6 linked regions of the Mus musculus genome follow. The protein of the gene in region 4 purifies or fractionates together with the protein of the main gene of each other region. This does not show direct contact. Links are inferred from orthologs where the notes say so. Each region holds a gene or a part of one and is shown on either strand. Other genes may lie near its edges. The genes, in order: Igsf8, Ptgfrn, Itgb1, Cd81, Gnb1 and Cd46.

The links.
Region 1: the proteins of Cd81 (region 4) and Igsf8 purify together in Homo sapiens (co-immunoprecipitation; 3 studies listed by BioGRID and IntAct, with this or other methods). This does not show direct contact. The link is inferred for Mus musculus from reciprocal best matches to the Homo sapiens genes CD81 and IGSF8.
Region 2: the proteins of Cd81 (region 4) and Ptgfrn purify together in Homo sapiens (co-immunoprecipitation; 7 studies listed by BioGRID and IntAct, with this or other methods). This does not show direct contact. The link is inferred for Mus musculus from reciprocal best matches to the Homo sapiens genes CD81 and PTGFRN.
Region 3: the proteins of Cd81 (region 4) and Itgb1 purify together in Homo sapiens (affinity purification with western blotting; 4 studies listed by BioGRID and IntAct, with this or other methods). This does not show direct contact. The link is inferred for Mus musculus from reciprocal best matches to the Homo sapiens genes CD81 and ITGB1.
Region 5: the proteins of Cd81 (region 4) and Gnb1 purify together in Homo sapiens (co-immunoprecipitation; 4 studies listed by BioGRID and IntAct, with this or other methods). This does not show direct contact. The link is inferred for Mus musculus from reciprocal best matches to the Homo sapiens genes CD81 and GNB1.
Region 6: the proteins of Cd81 (region 4) and Cd46 purify together in Homo sapiens (co-immunoprecipitation; 3 studies listed by BioGRID and IntAct, with this or other methods). This does not show direct contact. The link is inferred for Mus musculus from reciprocal best matches to the Homo sapiens genes CD81 and CD46.

What each region holds. Positions count from the first base shown.
Region 1 is NC_000067.6:172,317,855-172,320,343, forward strand, and holds the end of Igsf8 (immunoglobulin superfamily member 8 precursor), read left to right. Parts: intron 1-182; coding exon 183-590; intron 591-699; coding exon 700-1,113; intron 1,114-1,438; coding exon 1,439-1,554; 3' UTR 1,555-1,569; intron 1,570-1,729; 3' UTR 1,730-1,989; downstream 1,990-2,489. UniProt on the Homo sapiens protein: Member of the immunoglobulin superfamily (IgSF) that links tetraspanin-enriched microdomains to the actin cytoskeleton and plays several important roles in innate and adaptive immunity.
Region 2 is NC_000069.6:101,058,167-101,061,666, reverse strand, and holds part of Ptgfrn (prostaglandin F2 receptor negative regulator precursor), read left to right. Parts: intron 1-604; coding exon 605-1,030; intron 1,031-3,500. UniProt on the Homo sapiens protein: Inhibits the binding of prostaglandin F2-alpha (PGF2-alpha) to its specific FP receptor, by decreasing the receptor number rather than the affinity constant. Functional coupling with the prostaglandin F2-alpha receptor seems to occur.
Region 3 is NC_000074.6:128,684,162-128,688,453, forward strand, and holds the start of Itgb1 (integrin beta-1 precursor), read left to right. Parts: upstream 1-1,492; 5' UTR 1,493-1,798; intron 1,799-4,292.
Region 4 is NC_000073.6:143,051,318-143,055,549, forward strand, and holds the start of Cd81 (CD81 antigen), read left to right. Parts: upstream 1-1,432; 5' UTR 1,433-1,683; coding exon 1,684-1,749; exon of another isoform or gene 1,750-2,369; intron 2,370-4,232. UniProt on the Homo sapiens protein: Structural component of specialized membrane microdomains known as tetraspanin-enriched microdomains (TERMs), which act as platforms for receptor clustering and signaling.
Region 5 is NC_000070.6:155,539,861-155,543,360, forward strand, and holds part of Gnb1 (guanine nucleotide-binding protein G(I)/G(S)/G(T) subunit beta-1), read left to right. Parts: intron 1-695; coding exon 696-759; intron 760-3,170; coding exon 3,171-3,333; intron 3,334-3,500. UniProt on the Homo sapiens protein: Guanine nucleotide-binding proteins (G proteins) are involved as a modulator or transducer in various transmembrane signaling systems.
Region 6 is NC_000067.6:195,089,449-195,093,733, reverse strand, and holds the start of Cd46 (membrane cofactor protein precursor), read left to right. Parts: upstream 1-1,485; 5' UTR 1,486-1,508; coding exon 1,509-1,635; intron 1,636-4,285. UniProt on the Homo sapiens protein: Acts as a cofactor for complement factor I, a serine protease which protects autologous cells against complement-mediated injury by cleaving C3b and C4b deposited on host tissue.

The sequences.
Region 1 (2,489 bases), on a different chromosome or scaffold from region 4:
CTCTCAGTTGGGCATCGGGAGTACCGCATAAACGTGGAGATACAAAGGCTATGGGGGGAAGGGTGAAATTCGGGTCCTGGGGTGAGGGAGATATAAGAGGCCTCTAAATTTCTGCAAAGAAGAATTACAGGTGGGGGGCCCAGGCATCTCAGTGACTCCTCCCATCTCCTGCTGTGTTTCAGCCAGCCAGCTGGCGGTGACCGTGGGACCTGGTGAACGTCGGATTGGCCCAGGCGAACCCTTAGAACTGCTGTGCAATGTGTCCGGTGCACTGCCCCCACCAGGCCGTCATGCTGCGTACTCTGTGGGCTGGGAGATGGCCCCTGCAGGGGCTCCTGGACCCGGCCGCCTGGTGGCCCAGCTGGACACGGAAGGTATAGGCAGCCTGGGCCCTGGCTATGAGGACCGGCACATTGCCATGGAGAAAGTAGCATCCAGAACCTACCGACTGCGGCTGGAGGCTGCCAGGCCCGCTGATGCAGGCACCTACCGCTGCCTCGCCAAAGCCTATGTTCGAGGGTCTGGGACCCGGCTTCGTGAAGCGGCCAGTGCTCGTTCCCGGCCTCTCCCTGTGCATGTGAGAGAAGAAGGTAAGAGGATGTTGAGCCCTTGACGGGGTTCAGAACTTATAGAGTTTATTTCCTAACCTCTTAGCCCCTGGGCCTTCACCTGGTAACCCCCGTGTTCTTTGCTCTGCAGGCGTGGTGCTAGAGGCTGTGGCGTGGCTAGCAGGGGGCACTGTGTACCGGGGAGAAACGGCCTCCCTGCTATGCAACATATCTGTGCGGGGCGGCCCCCCAGGGCTGCGACTAGCAGCCAGCTGGTGGGTGGAGAGGCCAGAGGAGGGCGAGCTGAGCACTGGCCCTGCTCAGCTTGTGGGTGGAGTGGGTCAGGACGGTGTGGCAGAGCTGGGAGTCCGGCCTGGAGGGGGTCCTGTCAGTGTGGAGCTGGTGGGACCCAGAAGTCATCGGCTAAGACTGCACGGCTTGGGGCCTGAGGATGAAGGCATATACCACTGTGCCCCAAGTGCCTGGGTGCAGCATGCGGACTACAGCTGGTACCAGGCAGGCAGTGCGCGCTCCGGGCCTGTCACAGTCTACCCCTACACGCATGGTGAGTGACAGCCACCATCTACCCACCTGTTCCTGCTCTGTTTGCCCCTTTCCATCTTCCTGTCTTCCCTTGCAATCCTTTTTCCACATCCCTTTGCATGAAGGGTCCCAAGCCGGCCTGAGTGCTGAGACCGGGGGTGGGGGGTGGTGGTGGGGGTGGAGGGGGGTGGGGGGGATGGGGGATGGTTGTGTTTGTGTGTGAAGTGTAGGTAGGCAGGACTGGCGCTTAGCTCTCCCTTGGGGAGGGCTGAGTCTAGAAAATCTGCAGGGGAGAGTGTCAGAGACCGTGGTACTCTCTGAGCAGAGCCTGTCTTCTTTTCTGCCAGCTGTGGATACCCTATTTGTGCCCCTGTTGGTGGGTACAGGAGTCGCCCTAGTTACCGGCGCCAGCGTCCTGGCTACCATCACCTGCTGCTTTATGAAGAGGATGCGGAAGCGGTGATCTGTAGCACCCCAGGTGAGGGAAAGGAGCTGCCTTCCTCAGGCTTCCTGTGCTGAGCTGTACCTGGCCTCCATCTGGGGGAGAAGCAGCCAGCTTCACAGTCCTGCAGGATCGTGTAGCAGGGTAAGGGCCAAAGGGAGCCTCTTCCTCAGCCGACTCCACATGCTCTTTCCAGTTCTTGCAGGTGTTGACTGTCTTCCAGCCAGTGCCACCCCTCCTCTGGTTGCCTGGATACCCTCTCCCTCTGTCCAGCCCACCTTTAATTTATTTGACCAGCCATCACCTAGAGTGGGAGACATGGCTCCCCTGTTCCCTCCTTCCCTCAAGTTTCCTGGCTGCCGTTCTTAGTCCCACACTCATGTTGTAGGAAGTCCAGTTCCTGTCCTCAAACTAGTTTTTCTAAAATGTGAATAAACTGGTTTTGTAAAATCGAGGCCTGTTGTGTCTTCTCTTGCGGTGAAGCTATAAAAGGCAGCATTGGGGGTGGGTGGGGGGAGTGGGGTGGTGGTAGGGTGGTTGCTGGACAACCTGGGCCTCTCTTCCCACCATAAACACCATCTGTCCCTTTGTGGGCCTTGTTACCCACCAACTGCATGAGGGGATGCCGGGGTCCCATCTGTTGTCCAAAATGTCTGTGCTGAGCCAAGTCCTAATGGGGCTTCTATTTGGGAAGGGGGACCTAGGAAGAGGAGGGGTGAGTTCCAGCTGAGCTCTGCCCCTTTCACAGAGCTCCAAGGGACGAGTCTTTTCTGAGCTCTCCAGACTGGGGCACACCCTCCTCTGGTCCATTTCTCCTGGTTGAACTAGTCTTGGACCAGACTCCTCCCACAGGCCCTGGGGCCTCAGTCTTTTTCCTCCTGCCCTTAATTATTCTCTGACAGCAGCCGAATAGGAGCTTCAGAACACGGCTGCCTACTTAAGGACAGCAGCAGTTG
Region 2 (3,500 bases), on a different chromosome or scaffold from region 4:
TCTGGCCTTGGCAGCTCCCTCCCTCCCTCCCTCCCTCCCTCCCTCCTATTCTCCCTCCCTCCCTCCTATTCTCCCTCCCTCCCTCCTATTCTCCCTCCCTCCCTCCTATTCTCCCTCCCTCCCTCCTATTCTCCCTTCCTCCCTCCCACCCTCTTTTCTTCCCCCTTCCTCCCTCCCTCCCTTCCTTCCTTCCTTAATTTCATCTTATTTTTTAATGTGTAGGGATATTTTACTTGCATGTATGTCTGTGCACCACATGTGTACAGTGTCCTCAGAGGCTATAAAAGGGTATTGGATTCCCTGGAACTGGACTGAGAGATGGTTGTGATTGCCATGTGGGTTTTGGGAATTGAACCTAGGTCCTCTGTAAGCAGGCAGGGCTCTTAAGTCTGAGACACCTTGGCAGTTTTCTTAAGGCAGATACTTGAAGAAGTGGTTTACACACTTTGAGAAATACTCTTACAGGGTCCTTCCTGCTCAACGCCAAGACTTGATTTTTATTTCAGAAGCTAGCAGGATGGACGATTTGTTGGAACGCGAGTGGTCCTTGACTTGTTCCTTGGACAATTCTTATGTCGTTGTGTTTTCTCTTTCCCCACTTCAGAACCAGAATACCAGGTCTACCTGAACGCTTCTAAGGTCCCCGGGTTTTCAGACGACCCCACGGAACTGCAGTGCCGGGTGATAGACACGAAGCGTCTGGAGGCCGGTGTCCGACTTACCGTGTCGTGGTACTATAGAATGACCCGTCGCAATGACGACGTGGTGGCCAGTGAGCTTCTCGCAGTCATGGATGGGGACTGGACTCTGAGATATGGAGAGAGGAGCAAGCAGCGGGCCCAGGACGGAGAGTTTATTTTTTCTAAGGAGCACACAGACACATTCAATTTCCGGATCCAAAGGACTACGGAGGAAGACAGGGGCAATTATTACTGTGTTGTGTCTGCCTGGACCAGGCAGAGGAACAACAGCTGGGTGAAGAGCAAAGATGTCTTCTCCAAGCCTGTCAACATATTCTGGGCCTCAGAAGGTGGGGACATCATCCTGTCACTGCTCAGTTTGGTTTAATTTCTTAAGTCATCTGTCCATGTTTGTGTAGGCACCCTCACTCTCCGTTCACACTGGAAATCTGTGCTCATACACTAGGGAACTGGAACCACATGGCCCTTTGGGGACATGGGCCTCTGCCACTCACTGTCCTTAGCAAAGCCTTGCATTTCCTGAACCCCAGTCAGTGTTCCTTTTTCTTTCTTTTGGATGCCAGCCTCCTCTCTGAGGACAGTTGTCCCAGAATCTACCTCAGTGGCTGTGTTTTCTTCCCACATTCCTTGAGTAGCTGGGAATAGAGGAGTCAGGCACCCCCTTGTCCCTCTGCAGTTTCTACCATTCCCCACCAGTCCTGAAAGACCCCTCTCTGCCCAGGGCCACACCTCTTCCACCTGCCACTCATCCTGATTGACTCCTTGCTCTTCTGCTCATCTGCTGGAGCTGCTCGCCTTGGTTTCATGGCCACTTTTGTTACTACTCCTGTCTGGCTAGCTGTGTTGAAATCTTCCTGGGAGCTTTCAAAAAAGAAAAGAAAGGATCCCAGTAGAAGTTGTATTTAAATTGGTCTGAGGTGTGTGCGGTCTGGACACTGGGATTGAATCCTCTAGAGGGGCCACTGTGGAAGACCCTAGTGTAGACAACATTTTCATTCTCAGCCCCCTGCCTTTGTCTCTAAGTATCACGTCCTCTGTCCCTTTTGGTCTTTCACTCCCAATTCTTTTCATCTGACCCGTTCACTTCTGAAATCCAGCCCTCCATAGCTCAGTGTCACTGTCTGGTTCTCTAAGATCACCGGCTCCCCAGATCATTCCCTTTAGTGCTTCAGCCTTAGTGGTTCTGTCTTCTACCATTGTCCTTCCTTCTTCCTGGGCCTTTACTTCTCTCTTACCAGAAAGTCCAACATGGACCTGGAGCCCGTCCTGATACACGTCCAGGGCTGGGGGTAAGGAGAGCTGTTTGATCATCTACGGATATCCAGCCTAAGTTCCCAGCCAATCATGTCCCTTCTTTGCTTTCTTAACTCTCTTTCCCTGGCTTGGTCTACCTTATATTCTGCTTAAAACACTACCTGATTCAAAGCCAACTTTGCTGTCGCTTTGGCTGCATATGCAGAGTTAGATGCAGTTGAAGGAAATAGCTTTCCAACAGTGAAGGTCTCACTTCAGATCTCCAATCTCTTCTGTCACGTGGGCTCTCAACATTGAGAGTCATTCTGGTTTCCTTTGTGTGTTTACTTCCCCACTCTCCTAAGTGATAATTGCACACCACCTGCTCTCTGAAAACCTCCTCCCCCAGCCTCTGTCGGCTCCATTCCCTATAAAAAGATCATCAAAGGAGAACTTGTATCTGCCATGTTCAGCATTGAGCCTGTTACTTGCCCGTATGTCTTAGCAAAGGTTAGCCCCTCTCACAGCTCAGACACATGCCCCACCCCCTTATATCATCAATATTCTCTCTCCTCTGGTCCTTTCCCATCAGCCTGCTAACACTGCTTTAGAGAAACCGCTTTTGGTCTATTTCTGTTTCTTACAACCTTGCCCACTACTCTGCCCATTTATAGCGGTGGATTCGATTTATCTATATTTAATATCTCTCATTTCTCCTCCAGTTCTCTGTGGTACCTGCTCCCCAACCCCTTAGTCACATGTTGATATTGCCAAAGATCAACACACTACAGAACCCTGTTTGTCACTTTCCTTCCTGGGCCGGGACAGTTTCTCCCTTGCAGGAATGCTCTGGCTTTTCCCACTGCTTGTGGGAAGCCTTTCCGGGCCCTGTTTCCCTCCTCACTGCAGTACCTCAGCCTCCCTTCCGTACTGCTTCCTACTCAGTTCCCACTCAGGACACATCAGGACACAGTCCCTGCATTCCTGCTTAACTTGCTCAGCTTTAGCTTCACAGGACACATAGCAGGGGCTGACTCCCAACTGTGCCCGTGTGTGCCCGCATGCCCCAGAACTTCGCCTTCACTGATATGGTGCCTTCCTGCCTAGCAAGCAGCTCTTAAGTTGCTGTCCAAAATGGAGCCTCTGGCCTCTGCCACCCATCTTCTTCCACCTTTAGTTGTTGACCTAAACCTTTACCTCTGACTCCTCACTTTTGCTTTGCTTTGCTTTGCTTTGCTTTGCTTTGCTTTGCTTTGCTTTGTTTACCTGCTAGGGATTGAAGCAGAACCTTATGGAGTGTTATGCAAGCCAGCCACATCCTGACCCCTAACTTCCCTTTTTGGTTGTTGTTTGATTTATTGGAGGCCTGTCTTGTTTTGAGAGGCAAGGTCTCCTGCAGCCCAGTTGTCCTCAGATTTACTGTGTTGTCAAAGATGACTGAGCTCCGATCCTCCTGCCGCTACCTCCCAAGTTCTGGGACTGCAGATATCACCATGCCCAATTCTAACTTCTTGAGACCAGTTTAGAGTCTAATGGCCTCTCATGCTTCAGGCTTATGAGCCCAGT
Region 3 (4,292 bases), on a different chromosome or scaffold from region 4:
TAGCTATTGCTGGGGAGAATAACCAACAGCACAGTAAATGCTACAGTGGAGAAAGGCTTACATTTTGAAAAAGCAAGAGGCAGCTTATATTTTCTGCCAAGGTAGAACTTCAATCCTCCAGGCACAGGGTAAATGGCTGTGGGTGTAATTGGACCTCATGCTTCTGCCACTACAACTTTCTTGTTGAGATGGACTGTACCGTGTAACTGTGAGCTAAAATAAATTCTTTCATTAAGTTGCTTTGTCAGTTATTGTGCCCCAGTAGTGAGACAAGTAATTAGAACAATGTTCATGCATTTTACATAGCTAAGTAACTGCCCATCTCTTAACATTTTTATGAATTCAAGTATAGCTACATTTCTGAGCAATTATGGAACTTATTAATTTCTATTTTCTTCAAAGTTTATGACTTGTACATGTAAATTGGTATTCCTCTGACAGCTTAGGTTGAGTCCTGGGAGAGCAGCACAAACACTATTTTGTGTGTGTGTGTGTGTGTGTGTGTGTGTGTGTGTCGATCTTGTGGTAGATTGTTCCCTCCTCAAGTCACACGAATGAAAGCTCACACAGTTCAGGCCAAGCATTGATAAAGTATGTTTATAAAGCTGTTTCTTGTGCAGAGACTGGGCTAATGGTTTAACTCAAAGTGGTAAGATCAATACCTTTAAAGGCAACGAACGTCACTGAGCTTTACCGCTGGGCTGCCGATGCAGACGTAGCCTTTTAAGTTCAGTCATTTACTAATTAGAAAAACGATGCTCATTTATTAAAATTTTAGTTAAACAATACATTTGATTTGCTCATGGGCAACATATAACTTTTCCATAGTGATTAATCTTTTTTTTTTTTTTTGGCATCCCAGTTTTACTCTTCCAGAACAGAAACACTATTTCTTGGGTTCATAAACCCGGCAATGAAAGCTGTCTTTACGGCTGGGTGCCCTGCTCCTCCTGGCAGCCCACACTCTTCGGGTAAGCTGATGGCACCTGCTGTCCCACAGCTTTCAGTATGACGAGGCAAGTCCAAGTTTCAAGCTTCTCATTTAGATTTTGAGACTGGCTACTTTTCAATTCTTTTTCCAGAAAAGAGAAAGCAAGTGCGCAAACATAACATTTTTCCTTTTTGTGCTTGGCCACCCAGATAGAAAATTGAGCAAATGCGGCGCCAAGGAGCGCAGGGTGGCACAGCAAGGGTGGAGCGGGAGTCTGCAATCTTAGGGTGACGGGGCGGGTCCGAGGGCTGCCTGCAGAACACCCGATCCTTCTTGTCCCCTCAGCCCACAGAGAGGTCTGGCTCGGGATCCCAGGGACCGGACACAGACTGCGGCTGGGCTTTCCAGCCGGGCGGCCGGCGCCCTCGGTGGTTCAGCGCGGTACCCCAGGCAGAAAGGGCCGAACGACCGAGCTCCTTTGTCTGCACCCTGCCCCACCTTCCTTCTTCCTGCCGCCTCCCCCTCCTTTTCAGGCGCGGCTGACGCGGCGCGGAGGAATGCGTTTCCGGAGGGAGAGAAAAGCCGGGCAGCCCGGGAGAAAGAGCTTCGCGGCGGGGGCGGGGCGGGGCGGCTTCCTGAGGGACAGGCGGGCCGAGTCTCCGCCCACTCGCTGAAGAGCCGCCAGACCCGCGGAGCGGCCGAGGCCCGCCGACGCCACCCGAGACCAACCGAGAAGCCGAGGCCCGCCGACGCCGGCCCGAGACCCTCCGAAAGGCCGAGGTCCGCCGACACCGACCCGAGACCCTCCGAGAGGCGGAACGCGGCGGAGCCCGGGCCGCCCGCGTGTCGGGCGGACGCTGCGAAAAGGTAAGGCCGCGGGCGTGTGGACGTGCGGGCGTGGGCTCCGGGCAACTCGGGCTAACCAGGCGTGTCTCTGCGGCCTGGGCCGGGTGGAGTCCGGTTTTAGGGACCGCGGCGCTCGGCCTCGTTCGGCTGCAGCTCCCCGCCCCGCCCGGCCTTGTCCTAAGGGAGGGTCGCGAGCCCAGTCTGTCACACCGGGGCGTGGCGGGGTTCAAGGGTGGGTACGACAGGGATCTGGGTGCCGCTGACCTTAGAGGGGTTCGGTCCGTCGGTGCCCAGCGGGCGCCTTTCCCCAGCGCGGCGCGGGACCCTGGGAACCAGGCCGCAGCGCCCGTGGTCCGCGAGGCGGTGCCCACCCGGGGCCTCGTGGAGTGTGGCTGCCTACCCTTTCTCGTGCCTCCTAGTGACAGGCTGGGTTAATGACCGCGCTGATCCCGAATGCCACAGTGAATTTGAACTTTTAATTTGAAACCTAGTAATAACTAGTAATAAATTATCCTATTTCCGTTTCCTCATCTTTAAAAGAGAAAAGGAGTTCCTACACTAATTATAGTAATTCTTGTGACACGAGGGTCAGACCCAGCTCCCAGCATGTAAACTCCCAGCATGTACTGACCTCACTGCAGAACCCTGATCCTGATCCATGGTGGTATTGGGACTGCCTATCTCATTTTACAAAGGAAGAAACTGAGGTGCAGGAGTTTTAAGTAATTTGGAGAGTTCATGGGCTCACCTCCAGAGCCTATATTTGAACTTTAAGTAACCTAACTAATGTAAAATAAAGAAGGCATTTTGTGTGTGTGTGTGTATGTATATGTATGGCAAGAGGAATCCAGGGCAATGCCTCAAAAAAAAAAAAAAAAAAAAAAAAAAAGAAAAGAAAAAAAAAGAAAAGAAAAAAAAGAAAAGGACACAGTAGGTAGTGAAATGTAAAACCACAACTTAGACAACAATGCTTCATATACATTAATTACTTTTCATTGCTTTTGCTATGTTAAAAAAAATCTACAAACTTCTCAGAATGTTTTGGTAGTATTAGGAAAGTCTCCTGGATATGCCATTCCACTTGGGTATGAAGAGGATAGTATGACTTAAGGTTTTTATTTTTTAATGGTGGTTGTTGCTTGCATAGGACAGAAATAAATGTTAGATGAATTCTGATTAGATTTCTTTTTTAAATCGCACACAGCCATTACAGTAGGTCATATCCTAGATAACCTGTAGAATGGACTAAGAAATTTTAGTTTAGAGTTACCTCTTGCATACTGATGGACATCAAGGCCCGAAGGGAAGGACTGACATCAGAATCTTAATATATGATATGATATCCAAGTTTATGAGGAATTTTGATTCATTCAACCATGGTTAATGATCAGAAATGATAGAATGACAAATAGAAAACGGATGAAACACTGGCATGTTGTATATAGGCACTTGGGGAGAGTAGAAGATACTAGAACTCTAGTTTTTATGTGAGTAGAAAGCAGTTTCTAGCTTATCTGTTGAATTTACAGGCCTGCAGTTGAAGAATCTGTTGTTGAGGATATGAAGTTCAGTATTAAGATGGTTTCTTTAATTTTAATTTATAATTATTTGCATGTGGGAATGTATGCCGAGCATAGGTGGAGGTTAGAGGATACATTTGTGAGGTTTCTTCTTTTCTTCCACTATCATGTGGATTTCAGGGATTGAATTCAGGTTGCCCAGCTTGGGTAAGCATTTTCATGTGTTGAGCCATCTCACTGTTTGAGGTTGTTTCCTTTTTTTAAGGCTTTGATTTGTTTATTTTATGTGGGTGCGTATTTGCCTGCTTGTAAGTTTGCCCTGTGTGTATGCCGCTCCAGTGGAGGCCAGAAGAGAGGGGTCAAATCTCCTGGAACAGTACCCACAAGTGGCTGTCAGCTGGTATGTGGGCACTAGCAATAGAACTCAGGTCCTCTGGAAGAGCATGTCTTCCCCTACCCCCTCCCACCAGGTTGTTTGTAATCTTCAGTATTGTACATGAAAATTACAGAATCAACAAAGTTGAAAAGTAATCAGTTGTCTTTAATTTTCTGGTCAGCCTAATTTGAATCTGTTCTGAATCAACATCAATGAAATGAAAATATAGTTCTGTATTGATTAACTCCATGAACACTGCTCACCTCTCCTCACTCTTTATTACTAGGAAAATTAATTAGCTTGACGGATGTTTGTCCAGAATGCTTTCTGCCTAATGTAGTTCCTTTACTCTCTGGTGTTTTTCTAACAGAGCCCCACCCCCTGGTTTACATGTAGAGAGGGAGGTGTATATCATAGTTTGTTGTCTGGAGAAAATAATTTTATTAGTGTTCCGTGAGTGTATGAGTACTAGTATTCTTACCTGTGTTACCAGAGTGATGAGATAAACATGTTGACACTAGTAAAAGTTTCAGAGGATTGTTTTTTTTTTCCTCAGAATTTAAATGTAAAAGTTTTTGAAGTGTAATAAGCCCAGCTGACTTGAAGATTCATTATGGGG
Region 4 (4,232 bases):
GACTCCCTCCTGGAGACTCAAATGACTTTTAGTGTGATATTACTCCAGCATTTGGTGACTAGTGTTACTTTTGTTGTGACACCACTTCAGCCTCCAAGAACTATAAATGTGGACACAATCCTTCACTGTAGCAGCTATACCAGCCTGAAGCCAAAACAAATGCACAAATTAACTCTCAAGAAGCCTACTAGCCTAGCCGAGTAGAGATAGCTCCACCCAGGCAGCTACTGGCCAATCATCAGGTTTACATGTAAATTATACATAGTTCAAATTTTCGCCCTTTAGACAACTGGGCATGGTGTCCTAAACCTACAGTCTCAGCACTTAGGAAGCAAAAGTAGACAGAGCTCTGTTCCAGGAACCAGGGCTACATTGTGAGATTCTCATTCTCTGTCTGTCTGTCTGTCTCTGTCTGTCTGTCTCTCTCTCCACATATATATTATAGATATTCCTTTCCTTTGTTTAAATATATATGTATATCTATTCCTTTTTAAACATATTTCCAGTGTCCTGTAGCCAGAGGGGTGCCAGGTGTGATCTCCATAGGGAACAATGTCCTTAACTGCTCAAAGATTTAAGAACATGGAGTGACCTGGAAAAGGCTGAGTCTTGGGAACTGGTCCTTCCATGGTTCCCAGTGAGTCTAATGAAGCAGCCCCATTGCCCTTCAGTTTGGGGAAGGGAATGCCAAGATTTCACAGGAATATCATCTATGATGACAGCAGCCATTCCTCACCCGGGAAGGAAGCACCTCTGCCCTCTGAATCTTTCCTCACTTCCTTATTAATCCCAGCTTTCAGGGAACCAGCTAGAGGATGGAGGATGGACTCTTGGAAGGCACAGCCAGGATGGCATGAATATTTGAAGGTGCCCCTGAGGGTTCTCGAGCCTAAAGACTGGCTAAAGACATTGGGTACACTATTGACCTTCCCAAATGCAGCCTCCAGAACTGCAGCCAGGAACTCTATCTGTGAGATAGGGGATTAGCAAGGCTACAAAGAATTCCATTCTAGACCTTCAGGCCCACGGAGTTGCTGCCTGGGAGATCAATATACACAAAACATGTTAACTTTTAAGACTCTTTACTGTCGAGACACCTCCACTAGGGTACCCTCCGGGAAAGTCCAAGGCGTCCGAGTACCGGAGGAAGTAAGTGTGGCTTCTTTGGGGCAGTATCTTGTGGCCAGTTCTTAGTCGCGACCCAGAAGCCTGCCCCGAGGGTTGGGAACCCTTAAGAAACTTGGAGATTCATCCTGCGCACGCACAGTGCACCGAGTCCCCAAGAACCAGCTGCACCAAGTTCCAGAACGCTTACTCTGGGACTGAGGTGGCAGCACCCACCCAAGTACCCCTGGTCCGGGCACCCCGCGGGCGGAAGGCGGGGCCAGGGGTGGAGCGTCCTCTGGGCGGGGCCTCGGAGGGGCGGGACCTAGAGGTCTATAAAGAGTGAGGAGCTAGGCGCGCGCGCCCGGTCCGAGCGAGCGCGTCCTTGCTTCAAAGAGATAGTGACTCTCGCGCCTCCGGCTAGGCCTCCAGCCCTTCTCTACCCTACGTCTCATTCTCCGCAACGCAGTTCTCCGGCCCGCAAGCGCTCCAGGCTATCTGCCAGTCCCGGACCCCGGTACTGCGTCCCCATACCGCCCGCTCCAGGACCAATCCAAGCTCCGCAGGCCGCGCACCGCCATGGGGGTGGAGGGCTGCACCAAATGCATCAAATACCTGCTCTTCGTCTTCAATTTCGTCTTCTGGGTGAGCAGCCACTGGGGACAGGGCGCACCCCACGGTAGCCAGGCTGGGCAGCGCGCTAGGCCCTGCTGAGAAGGCGCAGCGCAACCGCGAAGTTGCGGCGCCACCTGTGGGCTCCGTGCGCCGATCGGGGTCCTGGCGCCCCTCGCCAGCGGGTTGAGGCCGAGGGCTGAGCTTCTGGGCCTCGGCTCGAGGGGCTTCTGGGGCCGGGAAATCAGGGGATCGCTGGCCTGTCCCCTCTGAGTGCTGGGAACTGGTGCAAGAGTCTGCGGGCTAGAGCCAGGTAATCAAGAGCCCTCAGCTATGAAGGGGGTACTCGCACCCTCCTGAATGTTGTTTTGGGGACCATCCTGCATCGCGAGCAGTGAGGGGGGTCGAGAAGGGCGGGATCTTGGCGCCCCGCCCCCATGAGCTCATCCTAGCCACCGCCCCTGGATAGGCGGCCTCGAAGTGGTGGGGGCACGCTCCGTACTTGCCTCGGAGACCTCAACCCCACTATTACTCCACCCTTGCTTACCCTCCAGCTTGGTATTGCCACCCTGGGGGCTCGAGCTCCAGGCCTAGAAGGCAGGGCAGCCCGGGCCGCGTGCTGCTGCGCACGGTGCCCCAGTTCTTGGCCACCCCCACCCCCATTCCCCCAGCTGCCCCTCCTCCTTGCCTGTCGTCTCCTGCACAGATTACAGCCCCGGCCTGACCCTTAGATCCTGAGAGGAAGAGGGTATGCAGTTCTGAGTTGGTGAAGGCCAGGGTGTTGCAAAGATCTGGGATCTGTACAAACCAGGAGCTTAGGATCTTTTCCTATATACAGGATCTAAGCTGGGCTCTCCACTTTGGAAAGAAGTGCACACCCATTTGGTCATCTTGGAAAGGAGACATGGGTATAAGAGGGTCTCCAAGTGTCCCTGGGTCCTGACTGTCTTCACTGCTGGGGAGTAGCCATTGGTGGTATGGGCTTCTTTCCATTTCCTAACTGGGTTGGGAATGGGGAGTCTTAACAGACCTGCCTGCGGGCACTTGAGTGAGCAGTGCTGGCCACTCCTCTGGACAGTGGTGCCACCCTCCCTGCTGCAGTGCACAGACTGCTGTTCCCACCACCCTCCTTCCCAGGAAGAAATGAGGTTATGCCAAGACAATGTTTCTCTAAAGTTGTTCCTGAGAGGGCAAACTTGTACAACGGCCCCTGGAGTGAGTGTGTTGGACAGGGGACACCTGTTTTCCATCGAGGACTGCTGAAGATCCCAGGGCGGGTCAGGGTGGGGTGGAGGGGAATAAGACGTTGGGGATGGGCAGGAACTGGGCTGAACTCAGCTGGGGCTATGTATGCTCACGCGGTGCTGCAGGGACCAAGATTGTCAGTCACGGTGACTCCAGAGAACACATTCTAGGGAGCAGCATGGGCGATGGGGTTAAACTTGCTCTGCCCGGGCATGCCTTGGGGTCTCGACTGGGTAGTCATGTTGGACAGTGCTTGCCTACTCTGAACCATGCAAGGAATTGAATGCACCCTCAAGAAGTGTGTTATCCACCCCACCCCACCCCCATTATTCTTCAGATGTGGGATGTCAGGATCCTGTAGGGTATTTCTTTCTTTCTTTTTTTTCTTTTTTTGCTCACCCACCTGATCCAAGCGCTAGACCCTCAGACTCCCTGGAGTGCTGAGGCTGGGTGAAGCTGCTCGTTTCCCAGGCAGCTGGGGTGGAGTCCCAACATGTCCCTGGGGTCTCTATTGAGGCTCCAGGAAACGGTTCTGAAGCCTCTCCCTGCTCCCAGGGACCTGCCTACTGACTGCAGAACAGTGAAAACTGTAGCCTTTCACAATCCCACAGACCTCTCCTCCCTACTCATGTTGGCCCCACAGTGGATAGGGATGTGGAGCAGAACCAGGCTACAACTGGTGGACACCACCCTGGCAGAGGGACTCCTTTTGTCCCTCGTGTGGCAAGGTTTGTACTGTGGCTGATAGTTCCCTGATATCATGAAATTGAACCTTTGGGGAGCCCCACCCCACCACTCTGGCCCTTAGTCTTCACTTCCTCCCTCTAAAGTGGGAGTTCTTGGGGGTCTCTGTCTCCTAGGATTGTGTGTAGACTAGCTAATGTACTCCAGAGTGGGGCAAGGGGCTTGGAGCAGAGAAGGCTCAGGAAATGGACACTGGACACAGTCTCCAAAAGGGAGTGGGGCCAAAGGAAGCTGAGCAATGATGTCAGAAGGGCCTAAGGAGGGGGCTGAGAGGTCCTTTGGGCCGTGGTGGGGGCGGGGGCTAAGAGCTCTAAGAAGGGAGATTTGGTTGACAGTAAATGTTTCGATGGACACTTTTTAAAATTTCCAGTTTGAAGATTAAAGTGGTTTCTCTGTGGGAGGGGACATTCCGGGCACACTAACCTGCCTGCTGTCACTCCCACCAGTCCTCCTTGGGCTTGAGTTCAGAACCTATATTGGGGCCAGCAGAGTTCTGGACTCCCAAGATATATGGGGCAGGACACAAA
Region 5 (3,500 bases), on a different chromosome or scaffold from region 4:
AGTCTATCATGAAAGGAAATCAGCAAAGACCGCAGAGGAATACCGCTTACTAGCTTTCTCTTTAGGGCTTACTTAGCCTGCCATCCAGGACTACATGCCCAAAGACGACACTGCCCACAGTAAACTGGCCATGCTCACATCAATTATTAATCAAGGACATACCCATAGGTTTACCTATGTGCCAATAAGATGGAGATATTTTCTCAGCTGAGGCTCCTTCTTCCTTAGAGGACTCTAGCTTCTGTCCTATCCCACCCCACCCCCAATATAAATAAAAACAGGGCAGGTGTTTAAAATGGATTAAAATGGTTCCTGAGTGGGTAGTGTTTCAAGCTTTTCCCATAATATTCAAGCTTTCTTGCTGTCAGTATGAACAAAACTGTGTCCTAAATATTTGACATGTCTCATGTCTCTGTGTATCTAATTTAACTTGGAATAAAAAAGAAACCCGTCAGAAGCAGGTCAGATCAGTACCATCTCTCGGGTGATAAGAGAAGAGCTGGGGAGTCTGGTCATCCAGGTGTCCCCAGGGCTGAGTTGTTATCTGACACTCATGGTATTCCATTGCTCGAGCATTGAGATCCTCTTTCTTATTATTAAGTGTATTATATTTTAAGCGAATGTAGCTTTAAAGCTCTAGTTGGTCACCAAGATTTTTTGTTTCTGTTTTTTCTTTTCCTTTATCTTTTCTCCAGGCTCCTTGTCAGCGCCTCTCAGGATGGAAAACTCATCATCTGGGACAGTTATACCACAAACAAGGTGGGCAGTGCAAGACCCTCCCTGGAACAGTGACAGTCTGTTGATGGAGCAATGATGACCTCGGAGGGCGATAGAAGAGCTTGTGTTGCTGACCCATTAAGCTTGGCATACAGTTGTGCTGTGGTTCCTGTCTTGGCATGTAGATAGGAGCTGAGTGCTTCCTTGTCCTTGCACAAGAGCTACACTCCACTCCTAGTTTTGACTGGAAACTTTCCTAATTTATTACTAGAATACTGAAATGCAGATTCCATTTAGTTAGTAGTTTGTTTTGTAGTAACAAGAGATAATCTAAGATGCACTATACTTTTTAATGTTTAGTGGAGGATTGGGAATGTAGCTCAGTGGTAGAATACTTGTCTACTGGGCATAATTCCCTGGATTTGATTCCCAGAACCACAAAAGATAAAAAACCAATGTAACCCAACAGATTGGTAAAAGTCTGTGATTCTAGTAACTCAGGAGGCTAAGGTAGGATGATCGAATAAACCCAGAGGGCAAACCTGCCATGGCTAGATAGGGGAAAGGAGAAGACAGAGATACTAGGTAGAATGTTTGCCTCATAGGTACAAATCTCTGAATTAAATTTCCACTTCTCTTATATTGAAATAAATTACACTGGGTATGGTGGTACATGCTCATAATCTATCATTTGAGAATGTAAGCAAGAGCCTCAAGCATTAAAGATTATGCTTACCCACATAATAAAGTGAAACCAGCCTGAACTACATGAGACCTTGTCTCTAAAAAATAGTATTCACAAAAAACCAAACAAACGGGGCTGGCGGGATGGCTCAGTGGTTAAGAGCGCCGACTGCTCTTCTGAAGGTTCTGAGTTCAAATCCCAGCAACCATATGGTGGCTCACAACCATCCGTAATGAAATCTGATGGCCTCTTCTGGAGTATCTGAGGATAGCTACAGTGTACTTACATATAAATAAAAAAAAAAAATTAAAAAAAAATTTAAAAAAACAAACAAACAAACAAAAAAGAATACATTTAAATTCTGAGTGGTTGCAGTGGCCAGTCTATAATTCTAGCATTTGGAAGACAGAGACAAGGAATCCACAAAGCAATCTGGTTATCTAGACCTACAGACGAGCTCTAGACAGTCCTGAGGAACACTGTCTCACAGAAGAAGGTGGAGAGCAGTCAGGGGAGGGCCCGTGTCAGCCTCAGCCTCCGTGTGCACAAGCACACATGCGCATAAAGTACGGGGAGCCGAGCCAGGCGTGGTGATACACGACTTTAATCTCAGAAGTTGGGAGGCAGAGGCAGGTAGATCTCTGTGAGTTAGGGGGCCACCCTGTCTATAAAGTGAGTTCCAAGACAGCCAGAGCTCTAGAAACCCTGCCTGCAAAAACGAACGAAAAGGTGCAGGGCTGGAAAGATCGCTCAGTCACTGCCTGATTTTTCCAGAACGTCTTGAGTTTTATCCCCAGCGTCTGCGTAGTGGTTTGCAGCCTTCTGTGTGTCAGTTAAAGGGGAACCCAGAGCCCTCCCTCCTTTAGCTTTCCAGGCTCTGTACTCAGTTAATCAACAGTTAATCAAATGTTCCTACAGATAACATGAAATTAAATCTCAAGACAAGTTTTAATGCTGTCATCAATTAAGGAAAAAAAATTGGACAGTTGTATTTTCCCTCAAAATTAGTAAATACATGCCAAGATTACAGAATGTTAACTGCTCTATCTAAACAGCAAGACTAACTGTGTTACCAGTGTGCAGTTAGGTTATTGCATGTGAGTGTCAGAGAGAATGAATATGAATGAGTTCTGCCTCAGCTTCTTTATTGCTGGGATCGGCATGAATCACCATGCCTGGCTGTTTTTTATGTGCTTGTCTTTGTTTTTTTTTAAGCTCATAGCCATGATAAATTAAAGGGGAAAGTAAATCTTTTCAAATCCTATTAACATCACTCCTTAAATCATTAAAATGCAAATATAATTTGTGTTTTCTTTGAGATAGTTTTCCATTATGTATAGCTCAAAATATCCTCAAACTTGCCATCGGGGCTGGTGATATACACCCTACTGGACAAGACTTTTGAGTTCAAGTCTCAGAACCAAAAAAGACAGACACGACAAAAAGCCCTCTTTTTCTTTCTCTTAGCTTTCCAACTCCTAGATTCACTGACGTATGCCATCACACCTATCTACTCATTAGGGTTTTTTGGTTTGGTTTGGTTTGGTTTGGTTTGGTTTGGTTTGGTTTGGTTTGGTTTGGTTTGGTTTTGTTTTGTTTTGTTTGTTTTTGAGACAGTTTTACTATGGAGCCCTGGCTGGCCTCAAATTCAGAGATTCACCTACCTTTGCCTCCTGAGTGCTGGGGCTACAACATAAACTATACACCCAGCTGTAGTCATATTTTCTTGAACTTAATAGTGTTTCCTGTCTGTATTCTTGTTATTTAGGTTCATGCCATCCCTCTGCGCTCCTCTTGGGTCATGACCTGCGCATACGCTCCTTCTGGGAATTATGTGGCCTGTGGTGGCCTGGATAACATCTGCTCCATTTACAACCTGAAAACTCGTGAAGGGAATGTGCGTGTGAGTCGTGAGCTGGCGGGACACACAGGTACACATCTCATGTTCCAGTGGTGTAAGCTGCTAACTGGGATGTATACTGCTCTTGTGATCTGTTGATTATTGGTTCAAGTAAAAGTGAAAGTAACGGCCAGAAATTTTCTGAAAGTGAAGCCAAACCAGGGCCAATATGCCTTCATCTTTAAGAAACATGGAAAC
Region 6 (4,285 bases), on a different chromosome or scaffold from region 4:
CCAACACAACTCTTATAAAGAAAAAGAGTTGGAGCTGTCTTACCTTTTCAGAGGTTTAGTTCATTATCATCATGGCAGGAAGCATGGTGGCATGCAGGCAGACATGGTGCTGTGGAAGGAGCTGGGAGTTCTACATCTGAATCCACAGGCAACAGGCAGAGAACTGGTTTGAGCTTCTGAGACCTTAAGGCCCATCCACTAGTGACACACTTCCTCCAACAAAGTCACACCTACTCCAACAAAGCCATATCTCCTAATAGTCCCACTCCCTATGGACCAAATATCAAACACATAAGTCTATAGGGGCCATTCCTATTCAAACCACTGCACCCACCCTCTGAAAACAATGTAAACATAATTCCCGAGACACACAAAAAGCCCTAACCCTGATTTCTCTACCACTTAAATGCCCTTTCATCCCACTGTCTTACCACCCTTCAAAAAGCATACAGGAGATTGAGTCCTATTTTGGTCCACACCCCCGCACTCCCCCTTGCTTCTCTTTGACAGTTTAACAAGATATTTCCCATGAACTGGAAAAAACACCAAATTTGAATCCTCTCCTTCATCCAAAGGTTTGACATTTGTCAGGATCCTGGGATGTTCACAGTCAACACTGTCACTGAAAGCATTCCTAACCAGGGCTAAAACATAATAGCTCAACTTCAGGGGTGTGCTTGCAATGCTTGCCACAGAGAAGTGTTCTGTGCAATAATTTACAGCAACCATGTGGAGGGTGGGGGTGTGACTTTAGAAGCTGAGAATCCAATGGGAAAACCTTTGAGAGTTGAGGATTGTGAGATGAGGCTGTAAGAGAATTCAAATGAGGAAAATATAAGTACTTGTCCTAATCAGCTGTGACTAATGCCAAATACAAGTCTGAGGCAGCCTCCTGATAGTGCTTTAGGTCTATTTTATAGGTTCCCGCACTTTTATTCTTCAAGTTCAAGTTCAGAGCAATGATCACAGGGCCAACAAGTCTTTCCAGCCTTCTGGAATAAAGCGGTCTCTTTGTATATGTAAGCCAAGGTACGCCCCAGCTGGTAAGCACACCTTAGAACAGCTATAGAGCCGCTGAAGAGGGAATACTGAGCTGCATCTTTAAGAAAACAGCCCTGAGAGGAGCACAACCCTGACATGCAACTGAGGACAAGGCTTGTGCCATCCAAGCTGAGGAGTGCAGCAAAGCTGCAGAGGACTTGGGAGTAACGCAGCTAGGTAAGGAAGGAGCACAGCAAAGTGGGACAATGGAAAATAGTTGAGAAGCCCAAAATTCCTGGCGGGAGCGCAACCTCATGGCCCAGCCGCTTGAACTGAGGCCCCACCTTACTGCCAGCCGATTGGCCTAGCTAGCGCTACCAGTCACCAGCCTGCCAGGAGCGGCCTGGCCACGCCCACCTGTTGTGTCGCTCAGCACACTTTAGTTTCAGGATTGTTGCGTCTGTTCACCTATCTTAAAACTTGCTCTCTGGCTTCCTGGCGCCCAGTTTCCCTTTCAGTCTGGTAACATGACGGCGGCGCCTCTTATGCCAGACTCAACGCACCCCTGTCGCAGAAGGAAGAGCTACACTTTCTTCTGGTGCTCCTTGGGCGTCTATGCTGAGGCCCTTCTGTTTCTGCTGTCTCATTTATCTGGTACGATCCAGGAGAGAGGCTGTGTCGCAGGGAAGCTGGGAGGAGTTCAGGAGTTCCTGGTAGAGCCCTCTTAGGGTTGTGTAAATGTGTGAGTTTTGCTGTGACTATGGAGATCATTCAGTCCTCACCCCGAAAGTGCAGATTTCCTTAGTAGGCAGTAGTTAAGGGGTGGGCAGCCTGAGTGGAGGGAGGGGTAGATGTTCACTTAGAGCCCCACTGTGTCAGTAGCAGATTGCACGGCTTATGCTGTGGGCAAGCAACTCTGGGTTTAGAAGGGAGGGAAAGTCACACTTGGCCTCCCCCTTTAAGTCAAATTTCCTTGTTGCCCGAGGCAGTATGTATGGGCTTGGTTTATAAGTGGCTATTTTGCTGGGCATGGTGGCGCATGCCTTTAATTTAGGCAGAGGCAGGTGAATTTCTGAGTTCGAGGTCAGCCTGGTCTACAAAGTGAGTTCTAGGACAGCCAGGGCTATACAAAGAAACCCTGTCTCGAAAAAAAAAAAAAAGTGGCTATTTTGTTTGGCTTTTCAATTTCATTAGATTCCCCCCCCCCCCACACACACACATATACAGTGTGTTTAATCATATTCCTTACACTCCTACTCCCTGCTTGGAATTAGTGTCCATTCCTAGCCAAAGCAGACAGTGTCTGATTCTATTACCAAATGGCTCTGAGATCTTATCTTCCTTTACAGATAAAGTCATAGTAGAAAAAGGACAATCTAGACATCACTCCTGAGACAAGAAGTATAAGTAGCACTCTGGTTTTCACCTTAGCTCATGAACTAAAACTCAAGCTTTATCCCACCACATTTGGATGGTGTTTCATTACATGGAATAAATACTATACATGGTTAGTTACTTTATAAAATTTACACAAAGAACAATACTTCTGTTTTCTTCTGTTTTGCAACACTCTGTGTTTGTGACATATATACATAATCTTGTTCATATAGTCTGTATTTCTATATTTTTTCTTATCAGTATCCATCCAGCAACTTTTGCCTTCTATGTTCCAGACTCTGTGCTGGTCCGGAGGATGGAGATGTTGGGAGACAGTGACAAGCCTGTCTTGGTTTTGTGAGCCTCTTCCACTGATTGTTCACACACATATATGTATAGGAATGTAAGCAGGCACTTTATTGTGCTGATAGATCCCTAGTGGCAATACATAGTATATGATCTATAAATATTTGCTAATAATAACCAAAGCTTAACATGAAGGAATAGAACCATGCTCTGGAGTAAAGGAACATGCTTCTCTGACTGGATTTTAAAATGACTGAGGGACAGGACAAACAACAATCCCAACTCTGACACTTTAAACCACTGGTTTTTTTTTGTTTGTTTGTTTTGTTTTTTTTTTTTTACTGTTTTTCTTATATATAGAACCTTCTCCTGATATTACATATTTGACTATTTTCTCTTCAAACTTAGTTGGAATGTCACCCCCCCCCCCCAGGGAGACCTCTTCTGACTACCCTTAGTAGACATAACCCAACTTAACCCATCTCTCAACTTGCATCACACCTATAAAACTGGCTTTTCTGTTCTCTACCTCTCTGAATAGGAAGGCAAGAGATCTTTTCTTTTTTTCACACTAGTGACTCCAAATGGTTTTTTTTTTGTTTGTTTGTTTGTTTTGTCTTAGTGTTGTTGCTCTTACAAAACTCAAGTACCAGAATGTTAAATATATTTGGCCAATGCATGAAGCACAGAAAAGATTCTTCCTGCTTGCAGGAGGAACATTCTTTCAAGAACTTTGCTTTTTCATTAATCGCTATAAAATTCACTTCACAAGGAATAGAAGAGGCAGGTACTAGCATAATAGGAAACCAATGGATTTTGAAAAAGAATAATGTTTGGGATGAGCTAAAAGAAGATTCTGCAGTAGCTGGGCGTGGTAGCACACGCCTTTAATCCCAGTACTCAGGAGGCAGAGGCAGGTGAATTTCTGAGTTTGAGGCCAGCCTGGTCTACAAAATGAGTTCCAGGACTGCCAGGGCTAAACAGAGAAACCCTGTCTCGAAAACAACAACAACAACAACAACAACAACAACAACAACAAAAACAAACAAACAAAAAAAAGAAAGAAAGAAAAAAAGAAGATTCTGCAGTTATTTGAAATTTTTTGTTTGTTTGTTTGTTTTGGTTTTTTGAGACAGGGTTTCTCTGTGTAGCTCTGGCTGTCCTGGAACTCACTTTGTAGACCAGGCTGGCCTCGAACTCAGAAATCCTCCTGCCTCTGCCTCCCTAGTGCTGGGATTAAATCTATTAATCAAATAATCAGATAAAATGGATAGGATATAACATAAATGAAGGGAAACAAGGTAAAATCTAGAAAGCAAAATATAGATCGAAGCCTGGAAAACATAAAAGGAAAAATCGTTGTCCCAGGTAGGGAAAATTAAAGGAGAATAAGTTCTCATTTTTGGAACAACTCAATTTGTGAGGAAAGCAGTTTATAAGTGGATAATGCTCATCAGGAAGAGAATCTGTCACATTTTGAGGCTGAAGTCCGTCCCTCAGAAGAGTGGCTGCTTCTTTGAACAAAGCTGCAGTCCCCTGTTATGTCTGCTGCTCTCTTAGGCCTTTAGGTCTTGCTGAGATCAGTAAGTGCTTACACTTTAGTATCTCAGTCTTTACTCTG